Linked DNA regions of Lepisosteus oculatus. Each later gene encodes a partner of the first gene's protein in a complex. Links are inferred from orthologs where the notes say so. Each region holds a gene or a part of one and is shown on either strand. Other genes may lie near its edges. The genes, in order: drc3 and gas8.

Region 1 (9,072 bases):
ATCTCCTCGATGGCGTATTGGTACTGCACGCAGGCCACCTCGCGCTGCGGCACAAACACACACTCTCAGCGCCAGTCAACACTGCGGCTGTGCCCTTCCTCCTCGTGATGTAGTTCCAGCTTGACCCTTAAATGTACCAGCTTCCAGGACCATCAGTCATGGTCCTGAGATTCTTAGGATCTGCTAATTACTTAAATGATCAGTCCAACATTGACTTAATTAGTTTTACGTCCCCCTTTTTCCAGGTCTTTGGCTATTGAGGATATTTATTTCCCCATGATCCTTGAGGATTACTGTGTGTGACTCAGACAGATTCTATTGGCATCACCCCTGGTGTTGACTAACTGCAGGATCCCCCCAGGCTGATTAACTACAAACCTTAATCCACTTCAGTCACTCGGTTGTTGGGTTAATTTGTCTTAGTTATAGATTTAAGAAATTTAGATCCAGTTCTGACCCTGGAAGGCTGTGATGTATCTACAGAAGCAGTACCTGCAGTGCTGGGAGAGGTGGTTAAATTAGTCCAACTGAGTCAATAACAAGCTGAATTAGCTTATTAAGAGCTGAGCTAGAATGAAAACTACCAGACACACAGATCCTCCAGAACCAGGACTAAACAGCCCTCCTTTAGATACACAAACTATGCCCAAGTGCTTGCAGTTGTTCATGCATGTGGGACCCTGGTCTTCCTGGAGGACAGCTCAGCAGGGCCGTGATACCTGACCAGGTGAGACAGCATGAGGTGACTCACGGTCTGCTCATCCAGCAGCCTGAAGTCCAGGTAGACCAGGTTAGGCAGGTAGGCTGTGATGAAGGTCTTATAGTTTTCATCTTTGTGAACGGGGTTTCCAGCCAAGTTCAGCGTGCGCAGCCTCTTCAACCTCCGCAAGTAAACCACCTACAAAAACAGAGGGAAATGGCAATACAGAAGATGAATTCACAGAATGTTTTTTTGGTTTTCTGCTCTACCTGCAGAGCATATTTTCTGGTGAGGTACAGATGGTTCAGTGTAAGTGTAGTCCTTGTGCATTTTGTCATGCTACTTCACATTTGCTGGATAGGCCTGTCAGTTGCTGAAATAAAGTACCTGGCAAAGTTCTTTCACAGTGAAAGACTTGTCACAAAACAAACTGCATCTCACTTTTGTACGATCACATTTCTTTTTCCCTCTCAAGACAATATTTAAAGCTAAATATTAAAATTTGTACACAAAATAAATGTGAAACAGCTCAGTCCCACTAAACTTTCTTTCTAAATTTAGAATCACCTACCTATTGCGTCCTGCCCTCCTCAAGTACACTATAATTGCCAGTGATGTGTTTTTGTGTCTCCGAATGCAGCTGCAAACCCTGCGATCACCCAGGGGGAGAATGAGGAAGTTTAGAAAGGCTGCCCCAACCCGCCCACTTCAAGCTCACTGCCTTTTAATTGTTTCAGGCACTAAACAGGTGTCTGTCGGGCGTTTGAGTGTGACTTCATTGCCGAGCCTTACGTTGTCCAGCTGGGCCAGGCAGTTATTTCCCAGGGAAAGGACCTGCAGCTGCTGAAGGGAGTCCATATTCTCGATGACGGAGATCCTGTTGTTGTACAGGCTTAGATCCTCCAGCTTCACCAAAGAGTCCAAACCCTCAATCACCTCAATATTGTTGAAAGAGAGGTCTGAGAGAAAAAGCGGTAGAGCTTGTTGGTAAAAGTCACACTGTGAATATTTATTTTAGTAATAACTTTATTTACTTTACAGAGTATATTTCATTGAATGTTATGATGAGGGAAAAGAGGTCCTGTAAAATATGTTCACTTAAACACAAATGAAATAAGTCAGACATTATTTTTGTGGTGTATAACTGTAATGCTACCTCACATTTTGATAGGAGATATTAACGATGGAGAACTTGCATCTCAGTCATAGAGGCTTCTTGACATTCAACTATTCTGACCTTGTCATAAGCTACTGCAAATGAACACAGCAGATAAAATGGAGTTAATTGTATTGCACCTCACCACGGGTCTGGTCTGTAAGTGTCTAATCCTTAAATTGGGATTCCCTGCATCCTGGTACTCTGCTACCTACCAAGCCACACCAGGTTGGTCAGGCAGTCCAGCCCTTCGATCTTCTCAATGATGTTGTTGTCCAGCTGCAGCTTAGTCAACGCGGTGAACTGCCACAGGTGGTCAATCTTCAGGATGTCTGTGAAAAGGCACAAAGAGCAACAGTTTTCCTGAGAAAACAGTCTTCTCAGCTGGTGCTGACATGCAACAGTAAAATCAAAACATAGCCACCAAAAAAAAGGATCAGCAGAATTGCTTTTTTAATGCCCCTCAGACTCCCCAACAGAATGAACATGTAACGCCACTTCGTTGTACTTGTTGTGTGTAATTAACCAGAGTAGAAAGAAGCTCTATGATGGCCTGGAGGTTGCCCTAATAGGGCCTTTGCTAAATAAATCTGCCCAAGGACTCAACAGCTGCATCACATCTAACCAATAATCCCCACGACATCCCCAGCGCCCCCTGGGACTCACTCCTGTAGTCCAGGCGCAGCTGGCACACCTCTCCATACTGGATGCCCTCCTCCTTGGCGATGCTCCCGGCCTGGTCCTGGGGTCCCTGCTCCTCCACGGCCTTCTGAAGCATCTGCTCATCCACCACGCTGGGCTCCACGGTGTCGTACAGCCGGCTCATGCTTTCGTTGGCCCTGTTACTGCTTCTGCCTGCTCCCAGGCAAAAAACACACACACACACAAGCAACTCCTGGAGCGGTTGCATTAAATGATACCACTTTTTAAAGACTGGAAGACAATGAGCTCCACCACCTAATGATTGCTTCACCCATGATAAACAGGCTTCACCTATGAGCATTCTGCCCCACCCCCTTCCCAGAAAAATAAGATCTGTGGCTCTTTAACCAAGAGGATTTGGAACAGAAAGTAAAAGAGACGAGAAGTGTTCGTTTTGGAGTACTGGGAGGATATATGCTGAAAGGTGATAGCTGTTGGACACAGAGGCCTGATGCCACCAAATGGGAGCAGTTTGTGCTTTGCAGTGTGTAGTCTGCCTCTGAGGCCTGACCGCACTGGTGAAATATTAATGCTGTTCAGGTATCAAGATGCTGTGTCTTTGAACTGTGAAGGCTGAGGGACTTTCAGTATCTCAAACAGCTGTCACACAGCGTGGTCAAGGTCTGGTTAACAATCTCACTACTAATTCATGAAGCAGGCAATCCGACTGTACCCAAAATGTCAGTTTGTGCAGCGCTGCACGCCTTCGCTGTAGCTAAATTTGTAGCTAGAGGTCTCTCTGATGCAGGAGAAGGAGACAGATTAGTAGGGGACACAAAGAGATGCAGTTTGAAAATAGGATCCCAAAATACGCCCGGTGTTTAAATGCTAATGCAAACGTTCACGTCTCGTTTAACGGAAGGGAGGCATCTTTGAATTATCATGTTTTACAGAGAAAGGCATCTTAAATTCAAGGTTCCTGTTGTAAAGAGCTACTTTTTCTAGACGGCATTGCAGTGTTTACTCATTCATTACCTACTGAAACGGGAAAAACAACAATATTCGCAATTCACTTCGCAAATAAAATTACAAGCAAGAGAAAACGAGCACAGACATGACGGATTCGACATTTTTAACATGAAGTTATGCATAAATAATAATATAAAATGTATGAATAATACCGATACACATAATATTCTCACGATCAAATTAGTTTATTTCAAAGACTTTAGCAATTAGTGCAGTTTAGTTTTAAAAAAAAAGAATAAGACACCAACATACCAGTTGCAAAGCTAGTAAATCGTAATTTTGAGAAATTAAACTCTTCTCTGAAGACCCGCCTATTGCCAGACGCTTTTCACGTTACTTAGCAACCAAACACTCAACGCATCTAAATTAATTATAAAAACGTATGTAACCTAGGCTTTACAACCTCCGTTTTCCACAATAACTTGTTGATAATCCTTGTAAATAAAATGTTTTTATTTCCACATTTTATTTTTGTAATTTAGGCAAGATTGACAAACGCCTACGCCTATAAAAGATAAAAGCGCCATCAACCCGCCCCCTGCCCCGCCGAGAAGGACGTAGACCTTTACGCACCAATCCGATTGGAGGGTTACATCGCTCTCAGCCAATCAGAACGATTGCTTCGCGCGAGGGCTGGGGTGAACAACCAATCAGTACAGCTGGTCCATCGCGCAGATCTTAACCAATAGCAAATCGCCTTAGGCCAGCCGGCCCCTGGGAGGGCCTGCGGTATGCCCACCAGCGATCGCCCCCTAGAGGTGGCGTCTGCGTAGGCTTTAACTTGGAACGACGTGGAGGTTGGCCAATTAGATCGAAGCTTTAGCCCCGCCGCCCAATCAGCTGCTCAGGGGGGCGGAGACAGCGGGAGCTCCTCTGTTCAGTGCCTGTCAGTGAGGATTGTTTGTTGTCATCAAGATGGAGTTTTTATTGGGAAATCCGTACAGCACTCCGGTGGGGCAATGTATAGGTAATTGTGATTTATGTTTGTGTTTTCAGAGCTTTAACACTCATACGCATCATATTGCGTAGGTATTTTCGTGTTTTGGAGGAGTGTAAAGAGCTGTTTTGTGTGTTGTATGTCACGCAACTAATTGAATTACCAGCTCTATCCTAGCTCCTGTCTAAATGTGGTTGGCTTTTTATGGTTATTTTCCAGAGTGAAATAAGATTTGTTTTTGTTAATAATGTGTTAAATATCGTCTTCTGTATGTTTGAAGTGTGTTAGAGCTCGGGTATCGCCTGCCTCGTTTTTATCGCGATGCTCTTGAAAATGTTTGCTGTGTGGAGAGAAATATTCTCATTACAGTTTGAAACTCGCCATTCACAACAGCGACAGTTAGTCACTTTGTTCGACGGTGTCTGCTTTATTCTTTTTGTTAAGGGCGATGAACTGAGGGGTCCATTAAATACGTCACTTTCCAGAGATACCGTAAACGTAACTTTACCCAGACAGGTTACATATTTACGGTAGAGTGTCGTAAAATGAGCCCCGAGATACGTGCTATTTTGTATGCTTAAGAAACTTACAAACACACTCTTTGCGCTATAGAAAATAGATTGAGCTGGCCTGGAATTGCGTGATGTACAATCTTGCTGTGATGTAATGTACCAGGATCTCTGGCGACAGGACTTATTACCCTCGATTCGCAATCCTTGTGTTTTCACGCTTTTGAAGTCTTGCTTCCGGAGAAGGCATGAGTGCTGTGGGGGTATATCAGTGTATTCGTCGGGGAAATCAGAATAAAAGCGTTTCACGGTGTGTCGATTAATTAATCAGTGAGGAAATTCAATACAAGAGTCGCGTATTTCCACTGTAGAGATAGGGGGCGGCCTTAGAACCGCCTTTAGCGGATGGTGGTGAGTTGTAGTCTCATCGTGCCCTTCAGTTAAAACCATTTTTGTATGGTGAAGCCATGTACTGTACATAGCATTGGCAAAATATCGGGGCGTTAGTGCAACAGTATGTTAGTGTTCATGCCTGTGCGTAAGAAAGAGATCCTTTCTCTCAGGTGCCCTGAGCTTTCTTCCTATGGGCTCGACAGCTGATTCACAATGCAGAGAAAATAATGTCAAAAGTTGTAGAGGCTGTTTTACAACTGCCTACTTCAAGTTCAGCAAAAGAAGAAAATACAGTTGGATCTCTGCGATCGCAGTCCGAGAGCGTGTGCCCTGAGACCTCAGCAGTAAACCCATCAGAACACAAGACAGGAGACAAACAAGCAGAGACCCTTCGGCCCGGCTAGCCTGGTCGGCAATGAGGAGTTCACTGATCCAGGGATGTCATCCAGCTGTTTCCTGAATGCTATCAACTGCAGCTAATGTTGCTGGGTAACATGTTCAGTAATCCCACAGCCCTTTGCATGAAGTACTGTTTCCAGTTCTTAGTTTTAAATCCACTTCTCTGTAGTTTCCTGTGACAATTATGACTGTTTTTTTTGTGGCTTCCCAGTTGCTGACCATCTCTCATTATTTCATATTCTGCAAAGGTGATCCTCTCCTGGAAGCGAGTTTCTGTTCATTTTCACTTGGTAGCTCCTAACCAGCAGTTGAGCAGTGGGGATCTGCCGATGAGCTAGTGTGTATTGTACAATGGTGGTCAATCTGTCATTCTGACAGTTCTCTGCACAGATTTTTTTGTTGTCCAGAGAACTGACAAACAGTTTTTTTCTTAACACACCAAAAAGAATGATTAAATCTGACAATGCTGGTTATCACAACTTGTGTTCCTGTGGAGTGTAACTGCGGGCACACTGTGCGGTGCCGTAATCACTGTGCGATTGTGCGATTGCTATAAGAGTGTGAGACCGCAGGCTCGCTGCTTGAATGAGTTTGAGTGGGTCTCATGTGTCAGGGCCAGGGACTGCTCTTTTCACGGGCAAAAGGGCAGTGTGCTTCTTTGCCGTCACAGTCTGTGAGTCCTTTATGATGGGGCCAGTTTAATCTGAGCAGTGAGTTCTGCGGTTATTTTTGTGCTCCGCTGCATTTGCTTGGTGTGCTGATTGTTATGCAGTGGAGAGTGTTTCTCCATGATGCAGGGCTTCTTTGCTCTTGAAATCTTTTTTGAGATATGCCCTGATAAGAACTGGAGCTCCTCAGCAGCTTTTATTAGCTTGGGTGCAATAGCGGTGGTGCTATAAGGGTTGGACTCAGCCCAGAAGATAACACTGGTGTGCACAGAATAAAAGTAAGGCCTGAACACTGTGGAGTTTTAAAGCCTTATCCACGATGGGACTGAGAAGACTGCAATATATCAGACAGCTCTTCCTTGTCAGTTTTACTCTTCCAGTTTGCAGTCTCATTTTGTAGTTATAACTGGATGACTGAGTTCGTGAAAGAGTGACCTTTACTGTGTGAGACCCTGCCTAAAACAGGGTTTGTAGAGACTGGTTTTCTAGCTTTCACAAGTGTGGCTCAGGAGCGAAGAAGCCTGTGTTTACACTGATGTGACAACAGGACATTGCGAGGCTGGTGTTTCTGGAGGTCAGAAATCTTTCTGTGTTAGTTGTGTGACGTCCAGACATGTTCATGCTGTGTCCAAGTGTGGTAGTGAAGTACAGTACCCTAAGCCTCTGAGGCTGTTGTAAACTAGAGCTGTCACAGAGATTTAAGTCTAAATTTAATATAATAATGTGCATCCTTTCCAGATCAGATTGACCGATAGATTAATCTGGAAGCATTTGTTTAGATGTAGTACTTCTGGCAACACTGGTAATTATCGTTTGTATTTAATAGCTTACAGGCAAATGCCAACCACATACTTTATGAGAGCCTCTCCCTGCCAATCCTGCCAGTCCCCATCAGCATGTGGATTTGTTGTGTACTGCTTTCCAGATGGGAGGAAGACAGTTTGGCAAAGCATAGCAGCTGCTCCAGAACCCAGACAGATGTTTGTAGTTTTGCTCATCTCAAGTGTTATGTTTCTGAATGCATTAGACCCAAATCTTGTGTCATTTTTGCATCCTCTTTGCAGAGTGTCAACAGAAAAGAAGGAATTAACGCACACGCCCTACCAGAGAGCCAGAATATTTCATTGATCCACTTTATGCACAACAGGATTAATGATACTGACGCAGACACGGTTATAAATTTATATGCAAATAAAAAAATCGATTTTGAGTTGTGTGCAAAAGCCGTGTGTGTTTTGTCTTTAACTGCTGTCTCAGCCTCTGGCCAGTGATGATTAGCAACCAGATGAGATATCTGGTTCGAATGGCGTCCTCTGGTCTGCAGGCTTCCTCGTGTTTTTATAACTGTCCGATCCAGGAGAGGTCAAAGACCTCCCCTCTAGAACAGCAGCCTTATGAGTAGAGCACTTGATTGTGCTGATCCGGGGAATGTCCACAGGGCTCTCCGTTTTCCTCTTTCGAAGTCACCTCTCTCGACGTCTGCAGAGGTTTGGCTGGGCAGGCTGCAGCATGTTTTCTGTGAGCAGCTGACGGCAATAACTGCAAAATCAGTCTTAAACAAAAGCAGGCATGCCACTTTTCCCTCTTTGGCAGGGACCAGGCGACCACCTGACCCAATGCATTTTAATGATGTAGCTTTTCTGTGCTTCATGCATTGGTCTCCCTGTTGCGGGGTGTTCGCCTTTACTCAATTAAAAGTGCCCTGCCTGTTCTTTGCACCATAATTTAATCTGGAGCTCCGAGTCACTATGGAGACGGAACCAAGCAATATCCCAGAAGCAGAAGGCAATTTAATGACCTGATGGAAGTGCAGTGTTTTTACTTCAGCATCTGCAGCTTTCTTCTGTGATGTTGTGCAAGCAGTGCAGTCCTACAAGGATGGGCTTTTGAGTTCAAGCAATTCCACTCTTGACATACTGTCTTGTAGAAGTGCAGTAGCCTGTTTTCTGTGCAGTGGAGATCTGGGCGTCGTATTCGTATCATTTTAACCTCCACACTGATCCCCATTTGGCAAAGAAGTGCAGCAGAGATGTGAAATGTCACATACATCTATGATGGAACATATTTAAGGAATCCTGATATTTAAGGAATCTTTGTAGAATTAGGGTTATTTTTAACCTTTTGAAGTGTGTTCTAAAGTTACCATGCCAGGAAGTTGTTGATCTCCTTGTGATTTTAACACAAGCACATACAGTATAAACACCTAGATTATAGGTGCTACACACTACCAACACTCTGTATCTGAAGAATAAATATGATAATATAGTCAAAACCTCACTGGACCAGCAAATTCCCAAAGTGGCTTGACCAGTTTGTCTTAAAGCAAAATATGAGCAAAAACAAAGTTGTTTTTAATGCTGTTTGCTGTGGCACTATTCTCTGATGGCTGCATTGCAAGGATTCTTGCAATTTGAAGGTTGCCGTGTTGTGGCTGCAATCTCTGTAGGATGAACTGCATTGAGATGCTTTGCTGTGGTTTATGTAGGTTGAAATGATGTATTTTGTGGCAGAGATTGCAGCAGAAATAGACCGCGTGCACACAAAATATAGACACACACCCAAGATGCACGGCCAGGGAAAAATATGGAGGTACGACAGGGTTTGCCACGGTCAGGATACTGGTGAAGCAGTAAGCCTTA
Region 2 (9,606 bases), on another chromosome or scaffold:
GCTCAGCCACCTCCTCCTTCGCCCTTTGCAGGGGCTCTGTGAGTCTCTTGTTCTGGAGCAGCACCTCCGCCATCTCCTTCTCCATTCGCTCCTCCTTGCGCTTCATCTCCTCCACCTGCTCCTGCACGCAAGACAGACATTCCAGAATCAACCCCCGCAGGCTCCTGCTGAGGAATGTCCTGCCGGGGTCACTGCGACACAATCAGGACATTGACGGGGCCGAGGGTACAAGATCAATGCAAAGTTTGCACAAGCCTGAAAATGAGGGGGACCAAGCGTTGGTCAAAGGCAAAGGAGGTCCTGTATCCCTCCAGACACAGACTAGAGTTCACGAAGAGCTATCAGAAATGTAAAAATTAAATAAAAGCTGAAATTAAATAGTGTTTTTGTTGTTATTATTATTAACTGTCATTACTAAAAGTGGAAGTAAAGCTACAAATGTTTTAATATGAGCACCGAAGATTTCCAAAAACCTGAATATATTTGTAAAAGTCAAATAAGTATTTTGGCTTACAAATGGGATTCAAAATGTCCTCCACCTCAGTGTGTTTCACAGCACAAGGACAAGAGATCTCAGCCGGTCGGGAGCCTGGCCGCGAGAGGCACTTTGTGCTCCTCATTCCTTACTTTCAGCGAGTTGATCAGGGCCAGGTTGTTGAGGGTGATGTCGTTGTAGTAATTCTTGATGTCGCTGAAAGCCTTCTCGTGGTTCTTCATCAGCGTGTTGATCTGGCTGTTCTTCCTCTCCTCGATCTCGTGGATCTCCGTCTTCCGCCTGAGCTCCAGCTCCTCCCGCAACACCTGCATCTTCTTCTCATACTTTGCTTCTATTTCTGCTCAACGGGAAGTAAAGGAAAAAGGGCCTTTAAGAGGGATTATTAAACAATTAATATGAGGCAATTAATCAATTAATAAAGCAATTAAAAAATAAAACTTAATTCATATTTATTTTAGTTAAAACCAATAAGAACATTCACATATTTTGAAAGTACCCATCACAGACATCTAACTAGCAAGTTATCGGTTTGCCATACACAGAATATTAAATGAATATTAAAGAATTTTAGACTATGTATCAAGGGAAAAAATAATGAAGGCAACATCTACATTCGGAGCACATAAGCTATTTCTTTAACCATCCATCCATTTTTACTCTGCTTTTCCTGACGAGGGTTGTAAACTCCAGCAAAGAGTATTTTATTTTGTTTTTCATTCAAGATGCAGAGAATGGCAAACAATGACATTCTCATTTATCATCTAATGAAATACATTAGTCAGAGACAATGAATTCAGAGCTGTCTCTGTCTCGTGTTTCAGCACAAAGGCAGTAAGTCTCTGTCCAACAGCGAATATGAAAACACACAGCAATATTCTGACTGTTACAGATCTACATCACTAGGTGGAGCTATATATCAAGACTACAAGCGAAACAGTAAAATACAAATAGACAAACACAAATCCCAGTTTATTACTCATATCTATTGGCCTCTTAACTTGTAGAAGGGAAATGGCATTATTGAAAAGGAAGTTGTACCTCGCACTTGTCTTTCAAAATCATTCCTCAGTTTGGAAATTTCTTCATCGTGTTTCTATTCAGGTTGTAAGTGGAGAAAAAAGCTTAAATTAAGACTCGATCTTCCAGTTAAACACAGAGGACAATTAAAATGAAATATATATACAAACATATATATGATATATATTTTTAAATACATTTAAAAAAATGTCCACATACCAGTTTCAAGCTCTTGACCAAATTCTCATTGGCGAGTTCCTGCTCTTTTATATCCACCTTGAGCGTGCGCATACCCTTCCGCAGCTCGTCCTCCTTCTCGCTCTGCTCCTTCTGCATCAGCTTCGCAGAGATGACCCCTTCCGCCTTCAGCTCGGAGGTGCTGTTCTGATGTTCGTACAGCAGGTGCTTCACCTTCTGTTTGTACACCTGCCGAAACAATCCACAATATTCTGCAGCAGCACAAAAAGGACTACTATCAATGCAAACGAGTTCTGAAACAATAACCACATGAAAAGTAATCAGAGTGAAATTATATTAATTACTCCCCTGGGGATGAATGAAGTATTTTTTAACTGAATTATTGTTATTAATTATTCAGGTAACCTATTATTTTTTTACAGGCACCCACCATTCTCTTCAATGTTAAGGAAAATTGTAAGGTTATTATGATTGCATCTTGAAGTCATCAGGGCTATAATACACTCTGAGCATTTTGCTTAGAGACATAGATGTTCATAAAAAAAGAAAATCATTTAATGCACAATGTAAAATTTCAGCAATGATTTTGGATTGGAAGCCCTCTTCTAGGCCTTTATGGACTATGACAGAAACTGGGCACAAATAACGATCCTCACAGAAAACCGAGGCCAACAATCATACCAGTGATACTCTGTAAACCTTCATAAAACGACAAATCTGCCCTTAGTGGACGACATGTAACCACTAAAAGCCCTCAACACTCTTTACCAGCTCTATTTCATCCCATTATGAAGTGCACTCCTTGGTTGAGGGAGCTCAGGGCTCAAGGGAACGTCCCACGCAGGCTGAAGGACCAGAACCCTTCTCGGGGAGACCTGACCCAGGTGTTCAAACTCAGCACAGGTTTGATGCCCTTAACCCAGCGACCGTCTTCAGATAGAGCACCGATACATGAACCAGAGGAAACGGACGGAAGTGCATTTAGAAATGAGAACAGGAGCCCCTTCTTTACCCAAAGAGTGGTGGGAGTGTGAAACAAGCTGCCCGGCCATGTTGTTGAAGCCGATGCTCCGGCTTCTTTCAAGAAACAGCTGGATGAGACCCTGGGATCAATTAGCTACTGACTACCAAACAGACCAGATGGGCTGAAAGACCTCCTCTCAGTTGTCCTTTCTTACAGTATGTTCTTACCTTAAGTCATGTTTGTTCAATATTGGTAGGGGAAAAAAAATATTAGCAAGCCAAACAGAGCAGACAGCCCTCCTAACCTTGATTTCTACTTGGTGCCGCTCCTCGGAGTCCTCCATCTCCCGGTCCTTGTTCCTCAGCTCCGCCTTCTTCTCCTCCAGCTGGCGCTTGGTGATGTCCCAGAAGGTGTGGATCTTGTCCCTCTCCAGCTGGAAGTAGTTGCGCTCCTCCCTCTCCCGGTCCAGCTCCTCTCGCAGGCGGACAATGTGCTCCTCCAGCTGCACACAAGTAGCCACAGACTTGGAGGTGAGCCGAGCCTTGGGGCTGGAAACAGAGCGAGTGGACGCTTGCACAGGTGTAGCAGTGACAGGGAACGTGCTTCTCAGACTCTGCCAGGGACAAAATCTTGGACTCTCCTCAAATGCAAAGTCAAAACTCACCTTTTTACCACTGTCTGTGTCTGCCTGACACTGTCTGTCTGTCTTTACACACGTGTTTATGGTCGTTTATTTTTTTCTTTATTACTATTTAGTATGATTATTTATTATATTACTTTCTATACGATGTTTTATTTGGCAATTTAATGTCACATGTGCCTTTCTTTTAAACATTCTGAAACATAATACAACACGTCGCGACAGCGCACGAGTATATCGCCACAGCTCACCTGCTCCTTGGACATTTCCTCCGTGGAAATCCCGTCCACCACAGTGGGGCTCTTCCCCTTGGCCGACCCCTTCTTCCCTCCTTTCTTCTTCTTGGGAGGCTGGGAATAAGAGACGCGCCTCAGCCTTTTAAAACCTCCTATCAGATTTACTACTGAGTCCTCAGAACTCAAGATCAACAGCAGCAGCGTCCACAACACCACACACACACCACACAACACAACACACAACACACACCCCACAGAGCAAAACACAAAATACACACAGCACACACACACAACACACAATACACACACAGTAGCACGACGTCACGTCTGTCCAAAAGCTGAGTTGTTTAACAAAAGCATCTTAAACTATTCGACTGCATTATTACGCATAAAATCAATTCACTTGGACGCTTAGTTTTCACAGCGACGATCGTCAACCCCAAGGTGATCCTCATAAATCATGTTTCCAAAGCTACCGTAAGTAAAAATAAAAGTAAAATACATGCAGACTTACCATTTTCAAGAAACTATTGATTCTGAGTAAAAGGCAGGGGTGAAAATATTTTGCTGTTCTAGCAGAGCTGCTGTCGCGATTTGCAGCATCGGCCTACAGAGCAACACAGCGGTCTCCTGGCAACGGCCGTGCTCTCGCGAGAAGGACACGGAGCAGGAAACGCGCGTTTCCTGGCAACGCCAATAAACAAAATATGGAGATGAAATCGATTTGCATACAGTACATGTGAATGAAGGACAAATACTGTAGTCGTCTCCACTGTACCTCGTTAAAGGTTTGTTATGCGAATCAACACAAATAAATTCAGCATTTTTATGCTGGCACAAAAATGAGGAATGTTGTCTGCGGCAGACAACAGATAAGACACGTTTAGAAGACATGATTCGTTCAAATAGGTCTGTTTCAGTAATAGATGATGAAGTGAGAAGACAGAAGTCTCCATTAATTTGATATTGCCGCTTAGGTACCAAGTGTGGCCTGACAAAACAGCAGGTCCCTATGAATGGAAAAAATAAAAAGTATCTGAAGTAATCTTTTTCCATTTTTACTTGATGGGATGGTGCAGTGACACAGTGGTTAGACTGTGCTACCTTGCAGCGCTGGGTCCCTGAGTTCAGCTCCTGGGGTATATATGCATGGAGCTTGTCTCGTCTCCCTGTGTTCGCATGCGTTTCCTCCAGGTGCCCTGGTTTCTTCCCCCAGTCCAAAGACACCCTTGTAGGCTAATTGGCCATGGTGTGAGTGTTAGTGTGCACTGTGACGGATTGCTGGGATAGGGTTCTGTTCCCCTCAGCCCTAAACTGAAAGATGGAAGGAAATGTGTCTTGATTAAATCCTAATTTTTCCTCTGGCTACCCATCAAAGGCATTAATCTGTGAAAGAAATGGTGCATACACAAGTACTTCTATAATCAGCAGGCTGAGAAAATTAGGACAATAGTAGGAAAGACAATGTTAACGACAGCTTGTAAATAAAGATGGCTTCAAAAGACAAGTACGTTCAAATGAAGATGAAAAACTTTTAGATATCTACAGTACGTGTACTACAGTCAACCAATGTGAAAATATTTCATGTATTTATTAAAGATAAATACATAAACATATTTCTTTATCCATAATCCTGTACGAAAATAAACATCAACCTTGGCTTTCATTTAAAGGGTAAACAGATAAAAGAGGAGATTGGGCTGCCTTAGACATCGAGTTATTAACTAAAACCACAGCAAGATAATAAAATGTAATCCCAGTGATTTCAGTGATGTAGCTGTCCTGACAGTGCCCCAGAAATCCAATGAAAATCTAATTTTGATAAGAGAAATGTCAGATATTTCCAGCTCCTCCATTCACATTTCCCAAAATTAACATATGTCCAGACTCTTTAGCCTATTTTCACATAGAATTTAAAAGAAAATCCGTATTAGCATTATTTTTTTCTACGAATAATATGATAATATGAGTGACAAATAGCCAGCATGCATTTCAGATTTCATTTGTATTTTATTCACTTTCCCAGTGAATTAAGAGCACATTCGTTATACCTTTATGACTATGTGGGCCCCAGATGGTGAGCTTTACAGATTTATTGCATAAAATGAAGTTAATTTATATAAGAATAATACTATAATTCTGCTTTTCCAAGCATACGTGTGCCTCAAAATGTCAGTTAAATGTGAAATATATTTCTAAAACATCCCGTATTAAACAATTTACACAGGTGTTCAATTTTAGAAACTTTTCATAGTATTTCCTTTAAAGGTATTATTTTTGTTAAGAAAATGTAGGAAAAAAATTGAAAGAAGAAAAGGTCATCATAAACTGCAAAGCCAAACCCCCTGATTTTCGCAGTACAAACGCTGTTTCACTCCATGTAAACATACAGTACATGTTCTGTGGTGGCTGTGTTTCTTTCAGGTCTCCACTTAACAATGAGAGCACAGTATCTCCTCCAAATCGTACCAGCTATTCAGTACAGGACCCCTAACCTTTTCTTTTCATAGAGCAGGAGATTACAATCTGGAGGGTGACAAATTATTTTTAGGATGTGATGCAATCGCATGCTGTGATATGTCCAATCCCAGTCCACTATCCAGTCAAATACTGTACATTTCACTTCCTGGTAGATTCAATAATTCAGCGAGATCTGTGATGGATTGGCATCTCTTGTCCAAGGCATATCCCGCCTTGCGCCGGTGGTTAGAAAATGGAGTCCTGTGGGATTACTTTACAGGGTGTCACTGCTCTATGCCCTTCATTTCTTCATTGCCTACAAGTGACACCCACCCAGGCACATTTTCACCTCTTTAAAAGAACACAAAATACACACCCTAACCCTAACCCTAACCCTTTAAAAGAACACCACATCATATCACTGTATCACCAGTTGTTCATACTACTAGCAAACATCTGCACCTTCGTGATGAGCTGTATGTGTATTGTTGAGCAAAGAATAAGTTTTCTAGCATTTAATTGGACTGAGTTGCAGTGACTTCATTTCTGAAGCTTTTCAATTATTTAAAATTATTCTGAATGTGTTATTCCAGTTCTGTTCCAATGCTAGTTTTTTGCTGTTTTCCAGTGTGTACAATATTTAAGATATTAACTCCACAGAATGCCTTTAAGAATAAAGAATGAACACTACTTGTCTATTGAAGAATCACTCAAAAAACAAAGGGTACTCAGAGAGCCCTAATCTCATGCATGTGTTTAACTCTTATGAAAATTTTATAGCAGAGAAAAACCATGTCAGAAGAGCTGAATGCATAATGGGGAATTTCCCTCAGGCTACCTTCAAATGGGAACATCTGAAAAAATCAAACTTTCATTTCAACAGCAAGCACTTAAGGTTTAAACCTTGATGGGAAGAATCGGGCGTTAGGTTTTGTGCAAATTGGATGGTGTCTTCCAGCCCTACATGAATAGCTTTACTCCACGCTAACAGGAAGTGGATGGATGATTTCCTCTTTGATTTAGGTGTGGCTCAGTGCTACACACACAAAACCCTGAGCTCGCACTCCACACCCCTCCCACCACCCCCCCCATCCAGATCTGGATGATCGCCAGTGTGTCTTGCATTCTGCTCTCTCTCTCTCACTCTGCTTTTTTTCTGCAGTCTCCCTTCCCGAGCTCATTTACAATGCAATGCTTACAGTGTAGCGTGGCTCTGCAATTTGCAAAGTGATCTTTGCTTGCATGGCAACATGTTTGTGCTGGTGCAATGCCCAGGGTGGTGATTTTGCGGGGATACTCCGGCTGTGAGGATCGGTGAGGGTGTTGCTGGTGTCTGATGCCGTGGAGAGTGCAGCCAGCGCCTCGCTCTGCCTTGCTGTCTCCTTCCCTTTCTCTCTTCCTGTCTCATGCTGCTGCCTTAGACAGCCCCGGACACACCACCTGCCTGGATGGACGCACAAGGAGGGGCAGGTACCCCAGGTGGGTGCACCGCGTTTCAGTTTCACAGACCGGTAGATCTTAGAGCGATCCGAAACATTTCCTTTCAGTACAAGAAACTTGCTGCTGCTGTCTGGCTCTGCTTGTAGGGCTCTCGGGGACTTCACGTGTACAATTGTGAAGAAAAGAGCATAAACCGTCTGTTTTAATGGTAAATGTTGCAGCTCACTTGTGTGTTTCTGCAGAGGTCTTAGCGTGCTTTGAAAGCTACATCACTACACTGAAAAACACAAGATAAAATTACACTGTGTAGAACAGCCTACCTCCTAAAGACAGTCTTGCAGAGCCAGAGAAAGATAAGACATGTCTTACTTTGCCTAGGACTCCTCTGTGCTGATTTTGTTTTGGCTGGAATATTCATCTCTGTCACTGTAAAAACTGCAGAGCCAGTAAGCTGGTCCGGGATCTCAGGATCAGCTCATTTAAATGGGCGACTCACCAGGAGCCCAGTGTCATGGTGCAGAGGTCCCATGTGCTCAGACAGACGGGACCACAAAGCTTAGTACTGGCCTGACACACAAAATTGTTTCCTCTGACAGGCAGGTCAACACAAAGACTTGAGGAACCAGGGAGAAACCACCCTCCCCTCCCCACCCCCTCCAAGCACAGGTCTTGCTGCAGACCCCGAGCGTTTTGAATAATATGAATACTGGAAGAGTCAAAAGTCAGGATCACCATGAAAATGACCAGCGGAGAAGAAAACAAAAACGCCCAAAACAAAGCGTTTGCTACATTCAGTTGTCAGCTCAGGGACACAATGTGCAATCGTTTCCAAACTAGGAAACAGTCCCATCATTAGATCTTTATCTTTATAGGTTAACTGTAGAGATCACAAGAGTACAGTAGAAAAAAGGTCTCAAGGATTTCCACATTAATACGAATTACTTAATAGTGCCCCTTCAAAGAATTTTGTGAATGTTAGAGAATTATAATACAATTGCCATGCTGCTTACAACTCCTAGTCCCAAAAGATCTTCTCTTAATATTGTGACAGATTCTGTCAGGGAAGAAAGGAAACCATGAGCTGCAGCATAAACAGACTTATACATTCAGTAGTAAAGTACAGTATGTAAAATGGATGGAAAACAAATTACTTTATACTCGCACCATTATTTATGTATATAGCAGTATTCAAGATACTTAAGAGAGCTTTATCGTCCTATCAAACGGTTACAAATATCAATATCGTTATCAGTACGGTGGCCTTGTTGTTAGGATTTGTTACCGAGCTTAATGTTTCGGGTATTTAGAAATGAGAAGCGTTTATTTAGATCCCGAGTCTGAGCTGTCCCACCTATGTGTCTTCCAACTAGAGCTCACAACAAACCAATGTCCTTCCAAAGTAAAGAAAAAAAATATAATTTAAATGAGAGGCTATGCAATTTTTGATCTCCCGTGGTTTACCGTAACGTGAACTGCGTCAAAAGCGTTGTGTCACTGCAAAAGTACTGGACAAAATGTTTGAAGAAGACGAGTAACATTACACCTGTAACTTACCATAATTAGTTAACACTGCAATAAAATCCATAATTAAATTGTGGCCTGACTCGCTGTGCCTGTTCTAAGGGTTAAAAAGCTATTGTGTTGTGTGGTGAGGGACTCTCGTTACAGTGAAACCAGAGCCCAGCGTGTTTAGACTGCGCTTGCTTTCACTTATCCTGGACTCGCAAATTCGCCCTCGGTCTGGCACGGTTTACAACTCCCACAGCCGTGAGCGACATCACTTCCCTCCGAAACGCGTCCGCAAATCATTTTCTGCCGGAGTGTAGTGTCCGCTCCGCCGCCTGTTGCAGCAGAAGCACTGGTGTTGTTCCCGAGTCGGACCGGAGACGGTTCAGCTCGAGAGATCGCAGCGGCACTTGCGGTCTCTGACCAGCCGATGCAGCAAAAGGTGAGGACATCTCCGATGAAGAACCGCAGGGCATTATTATTCATGCCCTTTCTGACCAAGAAGCACTGCAGTTTGCTTTCAGGACAAGACAACATCATATTCCATTAGTTACCTACTCTAGTGACTAAATGTTGTGTCACCAAATTTCCTAGCGAATTTTCCAGAGAACCTAACCATCAGCAAACAAGAAGAATACACAAACATTGA

What was found.
Region 2: drc3 (region 1) and gas8 share a complex: the UniProt entries of both Homo sapiens proteins name them as parts of the nexin-dynein regulatory complex. The link is inferred for Lepisosteus oculatus from reciprocal best matches to the Homo sapiens genes DRC3 and DRC4.

The regions. Positions count from the first base shown.
Region 1 is NC_090714.1:17,590,492-17,599,563, reverse strand, and holds the start of drc3 (dynein regulatory complex subunit 3), read right to left. Parts: upstream 4,090-9,072; 5' UTR 3,780-4,089; intron 2,715-3,779; 5' UTR 2,683-2,714; coding exon 2,523-2,682; intron 2,189-2,522; coding exon 2,072-2,188; intron 1,660-2,071; coding exon 1,493-1,659; intron 899-1,492; coding exon 752-898; intron 45-751; coding exon 1-44. Other genes in the region: TOM1-like protein 2, read left to right, coding at 4,443-4,494. UniProt on the Homo sapiens protein: Component of the nexin-dynein regulatory complex (N-DRC) a key regulator of ciliary/flagellar motility which maintains the alignment and integrity of the distal axoneme and regulates microtubule sliding in motile axonemes.
Region 2 is NC_090715.1:16,577,602-16,587,207, reverse strand, and holds the start of gas8 (dynein regulatory complex subunit 4), read right to left. Parts: upstream 4,185-9,606; 5' UTR 4,069-4,184; coding exon 4,066-4,068; intron 3,666-4,065; coding exon 3,567-3,665; intron 3,224-3,566; exon of another isoform or gene 3,178-3,223; coding exon 2,980-3,177; intron 1,940-2,979; coding exon 1,733-1,939; intron 1,590-1,732; coding exon 1,535-1,589; intron 834-1,534; coding exon 628-833; intron 122-627; coding exon 1-121. Other genes in the region: dbndd1 (dysbindin domain-containing protein 1), read left to right, coding at 7,460-7,490. UniProt on the Homo sapiens protein: Component of the nexin-dynein regulatory complex (N-DRC), a key regulator of ciliary/flagellar motility which maintains the alignment and integrity of the distal axoneme and regulates microtubule sliding in motile axonemes.